3 linked regions of the Macaca mulatta genome follow. The protein of the gene in region 1 interacts with the protein of each later gene in a biochemical or structural test. Links are inferred from orthologs where the notes say so. Each region holds a gene or a part of one and is shown on either strand. Other genes may lie near its edges.

Region 1 (3,564 bases):
AATTAGCAGCAGTCGTCAATAACCTAAATACCGGGCAAGTGTTGCATGTGGTACAGGCTCTTTACCCATTCAGCTCATCTAACGATGAAGAACTTAATTTCGAGAAAGGAGATGTAATGGATGTTATTGAAAAACCTGAAAATGACCCAGAATGGTGGAAATGCAGGAAGATCAATGGTATGGTTGGTCTAGTACCAAAAAACTATGTTACCGTTATGCAGAATAATCCATTAACCTCAGGTTTGGAGCCATCACCTCCACAGTGTGATTACATTAGGCCTTCACTCACGGGAAAGTTTGCTGGCAATCCTTGGTATTATGGCAAAGTCACCAGGCATCAAGCAGAAATGGCATTAAACGAAAGAGGACACGAAGGGGATTTCCTCATTCGAGATAGTGAATCTTCGGTAAGTTGATTTTCAGATGTAAATACAAATAGAGCTCTATGTATTAAAAAGAAAAAGAGAAATGGAGAGGTTAAGTGGCTTCCCTAAAGTTAACCAGGTAACAAGCTGGGACATAACATAAGCATAAATGTTCCAAAGCTAAAGTCAGCATTCTTTCTAGCTATCTATTTTCAATGAAAAGAGAGTTGTGGCAGTGATGCTACATGCTGAGTTATTTGGTCTTTTCTAGTTCTGTTGATTTTGCATTCCTGATATATTTTCTGTTGCATTAAACTAAATGGAGAAAATGGAACATTGACTTCTTCATTGAATGTAGAATAATACTGTAGATTAAATTGGGAAACATTTTAAAAATTGCTATTGGATACAATGTGTAAGAAGATAGTCACTGTAGTCCTTATGACATAGGAAATCCCTGAATTTAAAAAATTGATACTAAGTTTCTTCATAAATTGGTTACCTGGAAATTGGAATACACTTTTTATTGTAATCTCAAAAAACCTATTTTAACACTGTGTTTGAAATGCATTTGCAATAAAAGGTAAATTATATTGCAATACTAGTAAACAATAAAACTATAAAACCATAAAAGTTGAAAAATAGTATGGTTTCATGGTCTCTTAGATACTGTTTAGGATATTAGAATTTGATGACACTCATTTTCCTTAAAAATGCCCTTTTCCTTGATAAAAGATATCATTACTTTTCCATTTATTAAATCATGATTAATCTTGGCTTTGCGTGAGTATATTTGTACAAAAGGGAATGTGTAATTGCACAAAATTTTGAAAGAAAATGTGTGGAAGTGGGGTGTGGTGGGGAGAGAGATTAATTGAACTTCTAATATGAAGTTCAGGAAAATGGGGCCTGTGCCTAATCCCTCAGAAAAGCAGTTGGTTGGCAGTAGGGAAGAGTGATGACATCCATTTTCTGTTAGTTGCCTGATCTGGCTCACTGTTTGAAACTTTGGGAGTAACTGTAGAAAAAGAGGCTTTTGGGGGTTGATATAGACTGTAACAACAACAACAACAACAAAAAACCTAATTAAAAAGAAAATAGCTTGAATGCAGAATTGTGTGTATTTTCTTGTGGGTAATTGAGCATAAATATAAGACAAAATACAATATATACCATTATTTTTAGCAGTATACTTTTTAAGGTTAGGTCTCAAGTAGGCATATTTTGTTTAGCCTTCACAGTGTTTTTTAAACGTTTAAATTCATTGCCCATATTTAAATATTAGGATATTTATTGTAAAAATTCAGACTTTGGACCATTTAAAATTGAAAGAACTACCAACATTGAGACCCTATTCCTGCGGGGCAACAATCACAGCTGAGAAGTCACCACTTCTTTAGATTGGTGATACACTGTCATTTTCTCTGCCCATCTACCCTTCCACTCTGACACTTGTTTACGTTATTCTTTTGGCTCTTGTAGGCATTTGAGTTTGTGGCCTTTCCTTAAAGTTTAGATTAATTCTCATTTGTGTGTTCTTCATTTTTGGGAATTCAGCGTGTTATCCCTAAGACAGCTACTGTTAGCTACACATTGAAAAGGGGTTGGGTGGGTATCTTAGACTTTCTCATGTGTTTCTCTGACTGGAGAGAAGATAGCTCTTGTTCTTCAAATATGTAAGGGATTTGCTGTGGGTGTCTACTGGTGGAGCTGTGGGTGTTAAGAGACTTTTGATTACACAGGTTTGAATCCTGGCTCTGTTGTTAACTAGATGGATGATACTGGCCAATTTATTAATAGCTTCCCTGAGACTCAGTTTTCACATCTGTAAAAAGGGTTTTGTTTTAGGGAGTAAAGGAGATAAATCTATGTAAATAATTTACCATGGTACCTAGGACTTAGTGCTTAAATTTTAGCTTTTAGTTTAATATAAAAATACTGATAGAGGGCTTTCAAAATGTTTACTGTATTTTTTTTTCTCTTTTAGCCAAATGATTTCTCAGTATCACTAAAAGCACAAGGGAAAAACAAGCATTTTAAAGTCCAACTAAAAGAGACTGTCTACTGCATTGGGCAGCGTAAATTCAGCACCATGGAAGAACTTGTAGAACATTACAAAAAGGCACCAATTTTTACAAGTGAACAAGGAGAAAAATTATATCTTGTCAAGCATTTATCATGATACTGCTGACCAGAAGTGACTGCTGCATAGCTGTAATTTGTCATGTAATTGAAGACTGAGAAAATGTTGGGTCCATCGTGCTTGATTGGAAATGGCTGTTTCTAAACCTTTATGAGAATTGACAATAAGTATTTTTATTATAATTCAGCCCATACATATATACTATGTATGCAGTGCATCTGCATAGAACAGTTCCTTATCCTTGGCCTTCTGTTTTATTGTTTTTTTTCTTTGCTGTTTTCCCTTTGCTTCTAATATTACAGTTTTGTATTTTGAAAAAAAAAATCAAATAATGCTTATCAGAATCTTTATATGGAAGAAATCCTTTATTGCCTATCCTTTGTTTCCTTGTAAAGGCGCCCTGTTCTGTTATGGTTTTTCATTATATAAAATTATTATATCTATATATGACATATGCTAAAATAAATTTCTTGGAGAGTGTTAATCTTTTCTGTGACTAAATAGCAATAATAAATGAAAAATTAGAAATTATTTCCAGGTATTATATTTGTCACAGGCCATTGTAAATACCAAGTATATTGTGTCTGCCTTAATTTTAAAAAATGCATTCATTGTCTTCAGTCGTACAGAAAGACACATGAGACATAGATTAGAAAACATGTTGTACAATTTTAATTTACAACTGTTGGAAACAAAAATCACTTTCTTAATTTTTTTTCCAGTGCTTCTCCCTTATCTGGTTATTCAAGAAAGCCAAATTGTCTCTGAGATATTTAGCTTTTCAAACTATAAATAGATGCTCTAGTGTTATTTATTTTTTTTAATCCCACTTATTTTACCAGGGCATCTTGTATTAGGATATGTTATATTTATGCCAGTGGGAAACAAGTTATGGCCAAGTTTTGCAAAAATAGGAAGCAGTGAGATACTTGGTTTTTTCTCCTCACTAAATATCAGTAATTATCAGGAATGGTATTACCTATTTTCATTTCCTCTTTTCAGCTTTAAATTTTGTTGATTGGGACGCTAAAACTGATGTATACCTGAGGAAAAAAT
Region 2 (4,053 bases), on another chromosome or scaffold:
TCCTTATATATAAATCTTCAGGCACATCTCTGATTATTTTCTTAAGAGAAATTCTTAGTGATAGGATTACAACATAAACTATTAGTTTCAAGCTTTTGATATGTATTTCTAAAGTGCTCTTCAGAAAAAGTTATAGCAATTTACATGTATACTGGCTGAAACTAATGTTTAAACAGCACTTTTCTTTCAAATCTTTGTCAGTCTGGGTTTTTGTTAACTTTACTAATTTGATGAAAATTGGTGTTCCCTATTTTTAGTTTGCATCTCTTTTCTTATTAGTAAAGTTACTGATTTGATTTCCTTGTGATAATTTAACAATTTCTGGTTCATCTGGGTTGATCTAGAGAAGATAATTGCTTACTGGGGTAGATGGACATGACTCGTCTGGTCATTTGATTTTTAATCACTAAATTGACTCCAGAGAGGAGGTAAAAGATGAATGCTTAGGTACCTATCAGACCAGGCACATTCCACAGGTTTTCAAAATGATCTTATTTGAGACATCCTCCAGAGGCTTTATTTTTCTAGCAAATATTTCCACTCTGCTTGTGTACATATGGACTTTCTAACATTTAAGGATTAGGACACAGACTCAGGGGCCAGAGCTTCCCAACAGTGGCTCCTATAAGAACTTAACAGTCTAGGACAGTAGACAGGCGACTGGGTTGCCTGCAGTAGCCACATCCAGAGAAACTGAAACTTACTTCACTTAATAGATGGCCAGTGCTGCCTTCTTCTTTATTCTGAGTTTCTAAGGATGCGATCTATCTATAGTCTTTGCAGAGGTATCCTGCTTTTCCTCTATTTCTCACTCCATGCTCACTACAGAGAGACAGGAGTTTCCCTACTTCATGAGGCACCAGTCCAGTACCGGAAAGCCCTGTAGGTGACAAGGCATCAAGAGCCTGTGTTCCTTCTAGCCCCAGTTCCATACTAGGGGTCTTGGGCATATTCACCTAATCCGTCTGGCATTTTGTTTCTCTTCCAAAAAAATGAAATGGCTGGACTGGATATTCTAAGCTTCCTTCCAACTCTAAACCTTCAGTGAATCTCATTGTAAATCTAAATCTAAAATTTCAATGAATCTTAGGCTAGTGAAGCACATTGTAAAATCCATCTGTACAGAGCTTGCAAAACTATGCCCTGAAATTTCACGAGATCAGTGTTCCAACATATCGTCTTCTTGCCCTAGCTCCCATACAAAGGATTTTCCTTTGTGATCAAGGGTACCTCATGACTGCCTCTGAAGCTGAACATCCTTTGAATGATGGCTGAAGTCTTCCCTTCAGCTTCTCAGTGACTTCAAGAAAAACCATTCTAATGTACGGAATTGATTAGCCACATTTTAAAAGCTTACGTCCTATAAAACATTTTGTAAATAAAGTTTCACTGTAATCTCTTTAGAGGCTTTAAAAGAGGAGAGGACGTTTCTCAGAAACATCTGTCTCTGCCTTCACTTCGCCTTCTCTTCCCAGAAGTCATAGCCACTGGCATGTGTGCCAGGACCAGGGTGTCTGTGGAAGGGGACAGGCCTGGAACCACTGCTCAGGGGGCAAAAGTCCACGGTTGTATATGTGTGTCTCTTTCCAAAGTCAAGCGGAAGTGATTTTGAATTGTGTGCCGTGCTCAGCTATATTGATTGTGAGCAATTCAATTCACTTCACATTTATAAAGCAGCTCAAGGAATCATACTGACCAGAGATTCCGAATTAGCCAGGATTCCTCTCATAGTATACATAAGCCAAAGTGTAGGACAGAATATAAGGCATTCCATTAACATATTTCAGTGCTGAGGATCATCTTTAGGAACTCAATGTACATGTGAAAAAGGACTCACCTATTTGCTTCTCCAAAGATGATGCTGTATGCTTCTGGCTGGTAGACTAGTAAAAGAGAAAGAAAAAAGATGCATAATAAAAATAAAATTATTTAAGCAAAAGAGACAGAATCGTCAAATAAACCAAGCCCTGGAAAGAGAATCCAAATACCTCAGAACTTTTGCTGACTCAGGCTTTGGTCAAGCAATTTTGCTTCACTGTCCCTCAGTTTTGTGATTTGAAATCGTACCAGTATTTTAAGTATTTTCAAGATTTAGTTTGGTCATCTGAACAAATTTACTTCCAAGCAAAACTTAAAAGTTTTGTTTGTTTTTTACTCCTTAAATCACTAGGTATGAGGCAGTAAGTGGTTCAACAGACTGAGTTGACAACTGAGGAAAGAAAAACTGTTGGGCTCTGATTCTTTACAAAATAAAAAATATTCCCTTCACTCCTATGAGCCTCCATTTCTCTGCCTATAGAATAGAATAACTAGAACAACCCATTTCTAAGAAAAAAAAAAAAGGATTGAAAAGCACTTTGCAAGCCAGGCAGTGGGCCCTCCACCCCCTTATGCCTGGTGCCTCCAGGGCACAGCAGTCTGCCAGCAGGCTTACCTCTCGGAGTTCTGCCAGCTCTTTCTGTAAGTGGAAGAGCTGAAACATCCCCAGTCCCAATCCTACCAAGGCAACCAGAACCATGAAAAACATCACAAGGAGACAAAGGCCTGTGCTGTGGTTTCCCCTCTTCTTCAAGGGTGGCAGCGGTAGTGGAGGCAGTGGTGGTGGCGGTGGAGGTGGTAGTGGCGGCGGCGGCGGCGGTGGTGGTGGCCTCCTTTGACCAGGCCTTCTGGGCACAGAGGTTGGACAGGGAAGAACTGTGCCTGGAGGGGCCCAGGGAGAGCTGGCACTGCTGTCCACCCAGTAGATCTGGGGATATGGGTAATTGAAGGGCTGCTGCATGGCAGCCGGTGAGTCAGGCCAGCCCCAGCAAACGGTTTTACTTCTCAATCCTGTAGAGGCTGAGGTGTCAAGGACAGGACTCCTGTTGCTGACTGCTCAAGAGGAGGCAAGCTGGATCTCTCTTATAGAGTTTCCATAGCTAAGGGAAACACCTCTGTCTTTCTCTTTCTCTATGTCTCTCTCTGATTCTGCTTCTCAAAGAAACACCCACTCACTTTGCAGCTGAAGCTGAGAAGCCTCAAGAAGCTCAGAGCAAACCCCTGGAAGTTTCCGCCCACAATCTTCTGACGAAAGCCTTGGAAGCCTCAGTTGCTATCGCTGTACTACCCAAACAGGTTGGTAGGCTATGCTCACCTTCCTGGGATCCTGTAGAGCAGGTCAGCATTGGGGTAGAGCCCTGTTGGCGTGAACTGCTCCCAGCTACAGGAGAATGGCCAGTGGGGCTATAATTTTATGAATTATAATTGTATCCTTTTTTATACATTACAATTGTATAATGTTAAGAATTCTACCATGTATACGACCAAAAAACTATTTAAAAATACCAAAATAACTCTAACAAAAATTGTTCAGAACCATATTTTTTAAACTATAAAAATTTTACTGAAATTGGCTCTGAGGGGAGAGACCATGGAGCCATGGCCAGAGAAGTCACTCCCACATTTTCGTTTTTGCAGGAGGAAAACACCTGTTGCCATCATCGCTTCCCCACACACAACTACCATTTACCCTGACCTGCCAATCACCATAATTTACAGGTTAAAAAACCTGCTACACCCTCTTTAGAAATTAGATCAGAGGCTGCAAACAGTGGAACCCACAGAACTGCTTTGTATTTCACAATGTTTTCATTTTCATTGTTTGCCCAGCTTATTTATTTACGTATTTATTTAAATAGAGACAGAGTCTCACTCTGTCACCCAAGCTGGAGTGGAGTGGTGCTATCGTAGTTAACTGCAGCCTCAAACTCCTGGGCTCAAGCAATCCTCTTGCCTCGGCCTCCTAAGTAGCTGGGATTATAGGCATGAGTCACTACACCTGACTTATTTATTTATTTATTTATTTATTTTTGTAGAGATGGGGACTCGCTATGTTGCCCAGGCTTGTCTCAAACTCCTAGCTTCAAGACATCCTCCCACCTCAGTTTCCCAAAGTGCTGGAATTACAGTCATGAGCCACTGCACTCAGCCCAATTGACCACTTTTAATATCAATATTAAAAATATTTTAATATATATACATTTTAAATACACATTAAAATACATATTTTTGTTC
Region 3 (3,991 bases), on another chromosome or scaffold:
TCGAACTCCTGACCTCAGGTGATCCACTTGCCTCAGCCTCCTAAAGTGCTACAGGCATGAGCCACCTCGCCTGGCCGGCCTGTATATTTTTAAAGGAAATAACCTAAGAGTTTTTTCCAGATTTTCAAAGAGGTCCTGTAAAGATTAAGAACCACTGAACCTTTCTCGTTTGCCTGATCCTGGTTACTGTTCTCAGGAATAGGAGGACACAATGTCAGCTTTAACCCAGGCTAGTTCCTCTAAACTGCCTTATCGGTGAAATGAAAATAATAGGGTTGCTATGGGGATTAAATGAGATGATACTCAAAAAGTGATAATTAATGATAAATCATAAGGTGTCTGCCACAAAGTGCCCCTATTATAAACAAACAGTGGCCTGGAGGGACAGTTTATAAATACTGCTCCTTTAGCATTCCACTAATATTCACTGAGTGCCTGTTCTGTGTAGAGGCCCTGGTGAAAAAGATCGGCCTTCCAGTATATTATCTAGTCGAAAGAACCTCAAAAGATACAAAACACGATAGACTGAACGCCCTGAGAAGGGCGTAAGTGCAGTGCTCTAGGAGCTGTAGAAGAGGTCTCGATATCCACTGGAGGAAAGTGTTTATTGGAGTTCATATCTGGAGTGGGTTTAAAAGATGAACAGAGGGAATCTAAAACATACACACAAAATCAATACTACACGTACACATTTTATTCTTGGTTTTGTGGAAAGACCAGTTAGAAACACTGCAATCACTTCTACTACTCAGCAGATACTGAGCAGTAGGTTTCGTGACAGAGCACCTGTATCTTTTGTCCAGTCTGTTTACTATACATTGCGTGCTCTGGGCAGTCCTTATCTTCGTGTTCAGGAACAAAGTACACACACCCCTTTCCGAAACGAAGGGCCCAGGGATTCCGAGAGGGGTGGGAGCCCTCACGGCCAGACCACACAATGGGGAGCCTCTTTACCCTAGTTATCACCCACCCCTGCAGGCTCCACTTTGCCAGGGTTCGACTTCTCGGGTCCTTTCGCCCCTCCCCTGCAGCCCCCAGGAGCGCAGCAACAGCCTGGCCAGGCGCCCTCCCTCTCTCTCTCTCGAGCTTCCCTCCTCCTTCACCGGGAGCCGGAAAACCCGGAGCGAACCAGCCCAGCCCGGCGGCGCATGCTCAGTAGCGAACAGGTTCAGTTCGCTAGTAGGAAGCTCTAGCGCTACACCGGCGGCGGCGGCGGCGGCGGCTGCGGCGGCACCTCAGGGCAGCCAGATTCCCCAACAACGACCTCGGGTCCTTCCCCTTCCCCGTGAGACCCCCGCCCCAGCTCAGCCCCGCCCGGGGCTCCTGCGTTTCGGGGTACCAACTGAGCAGAGCGGGCGCCGCGGCCGGAGCGTACCTCCACACGTCCTCCCCCAGCCGCCAGCTCCGCCGCGGGGCCAGGCCGGGCCCGAGAGTGCAGCCCCGGCGGGCGGGCGGGCGGCGGCCGCGGCAGAGGGCAGCCCCGGGCGGCGCCGGCGGGCCGGGGAGGAGGCGCGGGGGGCCTGGCCCCGGGGCGGTGGTGCGGGATGCCGCCGCCTCCGGGCCGCGTTCGTTCTCCACAGTTGGTACCCGTGTCGGGTGTGTGGCCGGGCGCGGGCCTCGCCCCCCAGCCCCCTCACCAGGGCTAGCCCGGCTGCGCGGCGCCCGGAGGGGGCCGGGCCGTCCGGTGGGGCCGCGGCCCTGTTCCGTGCTGCGATCTCGCCCTCTCGCAGCTCCCCGGCCCGGCCGCCGCCGCCCCTCTCCCCGCCCAGAGGCGCCCCGGGGGCACCATGCAGGCGCAGCAGCTGCCATACGAGTTTTTCAGCGAAGAGAACGCGCCCAAGTGGCGGGGACTGCTGGTGCCTGCGCTGAAAAAGGTGAGGAGCACGCGGGACCCCGCTTCCCGGCCGCAGCACCCCAGCGCGGGCGCCGGGCTGGCGCTGGGGAAGGGCTGGGGAGGCGGGGCGCGCGCAGGGCTGTCTTTCTTCCCGGTCTCGCCGCGTCTCCAGAAGGACGGCGCACACTGAGAGGCTCGCCATACGGCTGGCTCTCAGTGTTGACATCCACCGGGTGTGTGGGAAGGCCGCAGGGAGCTGGCGGGAGTTTATCCGAATAATCCAACCCCTGAGAGGTGAATGCTTTGCCCTTTGATTCCAAGACAACAGTTGCAGGAGCCTCAGTTTTCTGCGGAGGTCAAAGCAGGCCACTTTTCCGCCTTCTCGGTCTTAGCGCGGAGCTGCTGTCAGCCTGCCGTTTTAGGTGTCCAGTACGCTCGTTTTAGTGGCTTTTCGAGAATGCCCTGGCCGTAGTGCTTGCTCAAAGGAATTGCGAGCTCGCCTGCCAGCAGTAACGTGGCCTGCTCTGTTCGCCATCAGCAATCACTCCTCATTCTCCTGGTTTCCCCCGCTCCTCCGATTAACAGGGGCCGGTGCACATGCTACCAATTTCGGGGTTTTTTTGTTTTGTTTTTGCAGCGTTAGAAACTTGGTGCTGTCATTTGGTTAAGAATTTTTAGCCTTTGTATGTTTAAGTTTGCTACGTTGTTACATACCCCCGATCTGTGCTTTTAAATGTTTTAGTATAATTAGGAAGTGTTGTTACATTTTTAAAGCTTCTAAAGCAGCAGTGTGACTACCAGACTATTTTTGTTTCCTTTTCTTCATTTACCTTTTCTGTAAAGATTGCTTTGCTCTTCTAATAGTGTTTCTAAATTCCAGTTTCTTGCTGCTTAAAGAATGTTTCATGCTAACTGCTTCTACTAAGAATGGAGATTAATGTTGTACCTTTTATGCTAAACATTAAAAGCTGTCTGATATTTCTCAAAGGCCAGTAACTTTTACTTTCCCTTTTGCCCTGTTCTCCTCCTGTCCCTCTTGCTGTCTTACAGTGGAAACTATTTGGTTTGTCAGGAGTATTTGCTCATATATTTCTGACTTAAGTTACGGACATTTTCCCCTTCAAGTGTCTGACTAGTCACAAACATCTATTTTTTTTTTTGTTTGTTTGTTTGTTTTTTTTTTTTTTTAAAGAAAACCAAAAAGATGCCATGTATCTTACATACTTTACTCCTTAGAAATCCCATCAGGCTCTCACTCCTTACTTTTGCTTTACTTGCAAGTTTGGCTTCTCAGCTTGCAATGGAATGGGTGTAGGACGTCTCTGTGATGCTAGAAGCTGGTGTCCGGATAGGGTAAGAGGAGACAGGGAAATTGTTTAAAAATCTGTAAAGGAACTCATAAAGTATTGCCAAATAGGGGCCATTTTGCTTAGAGGCAAAAACAGCTGCTTTCTTAGGGAATCACCAAGCTATCAGCTGAGAATTCTTTGAAGTAGTGGAAAGAATATTGTAGGAGTTGACAGACCTTGTTTTAATTCTGCCACACTGGTGGCCCTTGCTGGAATCTGTCCACAGAAGCATTTTGTTTGGCTGGCACAGTGTGGTTTTATTTTCAAATGTAATTAGTTGCTAATATTTGAAAATGGGAGATATTACATAAAATCTGAATTTTCTGCTTTTCTTGACGAATAGGAAGGTCTTGTCATTTAGGGTCTGTATTCAAGCGAGGCACTAAACTGCTGGAGGTGAGTAAATGGCTGCCTTCTTTAGACAGGTCGTGTATCTCCACCTTACCACAGCCCCCACTTGTCCTTTTTGCATATTTACATAAACCAGCTTTTGACTTTAAGCTAGAAATATTTTTGCAGTAGAAGTGATAAGAGGAGGTGGAAGTGTACATAATCTAGCTGATATGTAAGGTTCTTCCAATTCTTATTTAAATATCCACTAACAATGATTCTAAACAAGGTTGAAAATACAGTATATTTCATATCTGGATACGTTGTTGGTAGCTCAAAACCTACGTTTTTACCTGCCTGCTGGATATTTCATGTGGATATCTCCATATCTTGATTTCTTCCTTTGATTTATTATTGAATTATTTGTAGATGCATCCAACTCGTGTTCTCTTACTCTTACCTGAGGCTCTTTGGATAT

The links.
Region 2: the proteins of NCK1 (region 1) and FASLG form a complex in vitro, tested with the Homo sapiens proteins (2 studies listed by BioGRID and IntAct, with this or other methods). The link is inferred for Macaca mulatta from reciprocal best matches to the Homo sapiens genes NCK1 and FASLG.
Region 3: the proteins of NCK1 (region 1) and SOS1 form a complex in vitro, tested with the Homo sapiens proteins (2 studies listed by BioGRID). The link is inferred for Macaca mulatta from reciprocal best matches to the Homo sapiens genes NCK1 and SOS1.

What each region holds. Positions count from the first base shown.
Region 1 is NC_133407.1:39,960,473-39,964,036, forward strand, and holds the end of NCK1 (SH2/SH3 adapter protein NCK1), read left to right. Parts: coding exon 1-407; intron 408-2,352; coding exon 2,353-2,547; 3' UTR 2,548-3,089; downstream 3,090-3,564. UniProt on the Homo sapiens protein: Adapter protein which associates with tyrosine-phosphorylated growth factor receptors, such as KDR and PDGFRB, or their cellular substrates. Maintains low levels of EIF2S1 phosphorylation by promoting its dephosphorylation by PP1.
Region 2 is NC_133406.1:30,156,203-30,160,255, reverse strand, and holds the start of FASLG (tumor necrosis factor ligand superfamily member 6), read right to left. Parts: upstream 2,822-4,053; 5' UTR 2,780-2,821; coding exon 2,435-2,779; intron 1,884-2,434; coding exon 1,838-1,883; intron 1-1,837. UniProt on the Homo sapiens protein: Cytokine that binds to TNFRSF6/FAS, a receptor that transduces the apoptotic signal into cells. Involved in cytotoxic T-cell-mediated apoptosis, natural killer cell-mediated apoptosis and in T-cell development.
Region 3 is NC_133418.1:85,814,943-85,818,933, forward strand, and holds the start of SOS1 (son of sevenless homolog 1), read left to right. Parts: upstream 1-1,170; 5' UTR 1,171-1,787; coding exon 1,788-1,874; intron 1,875-2,009; exon of another isoform or gene 2,010-2,128; intron 2,129-3,991.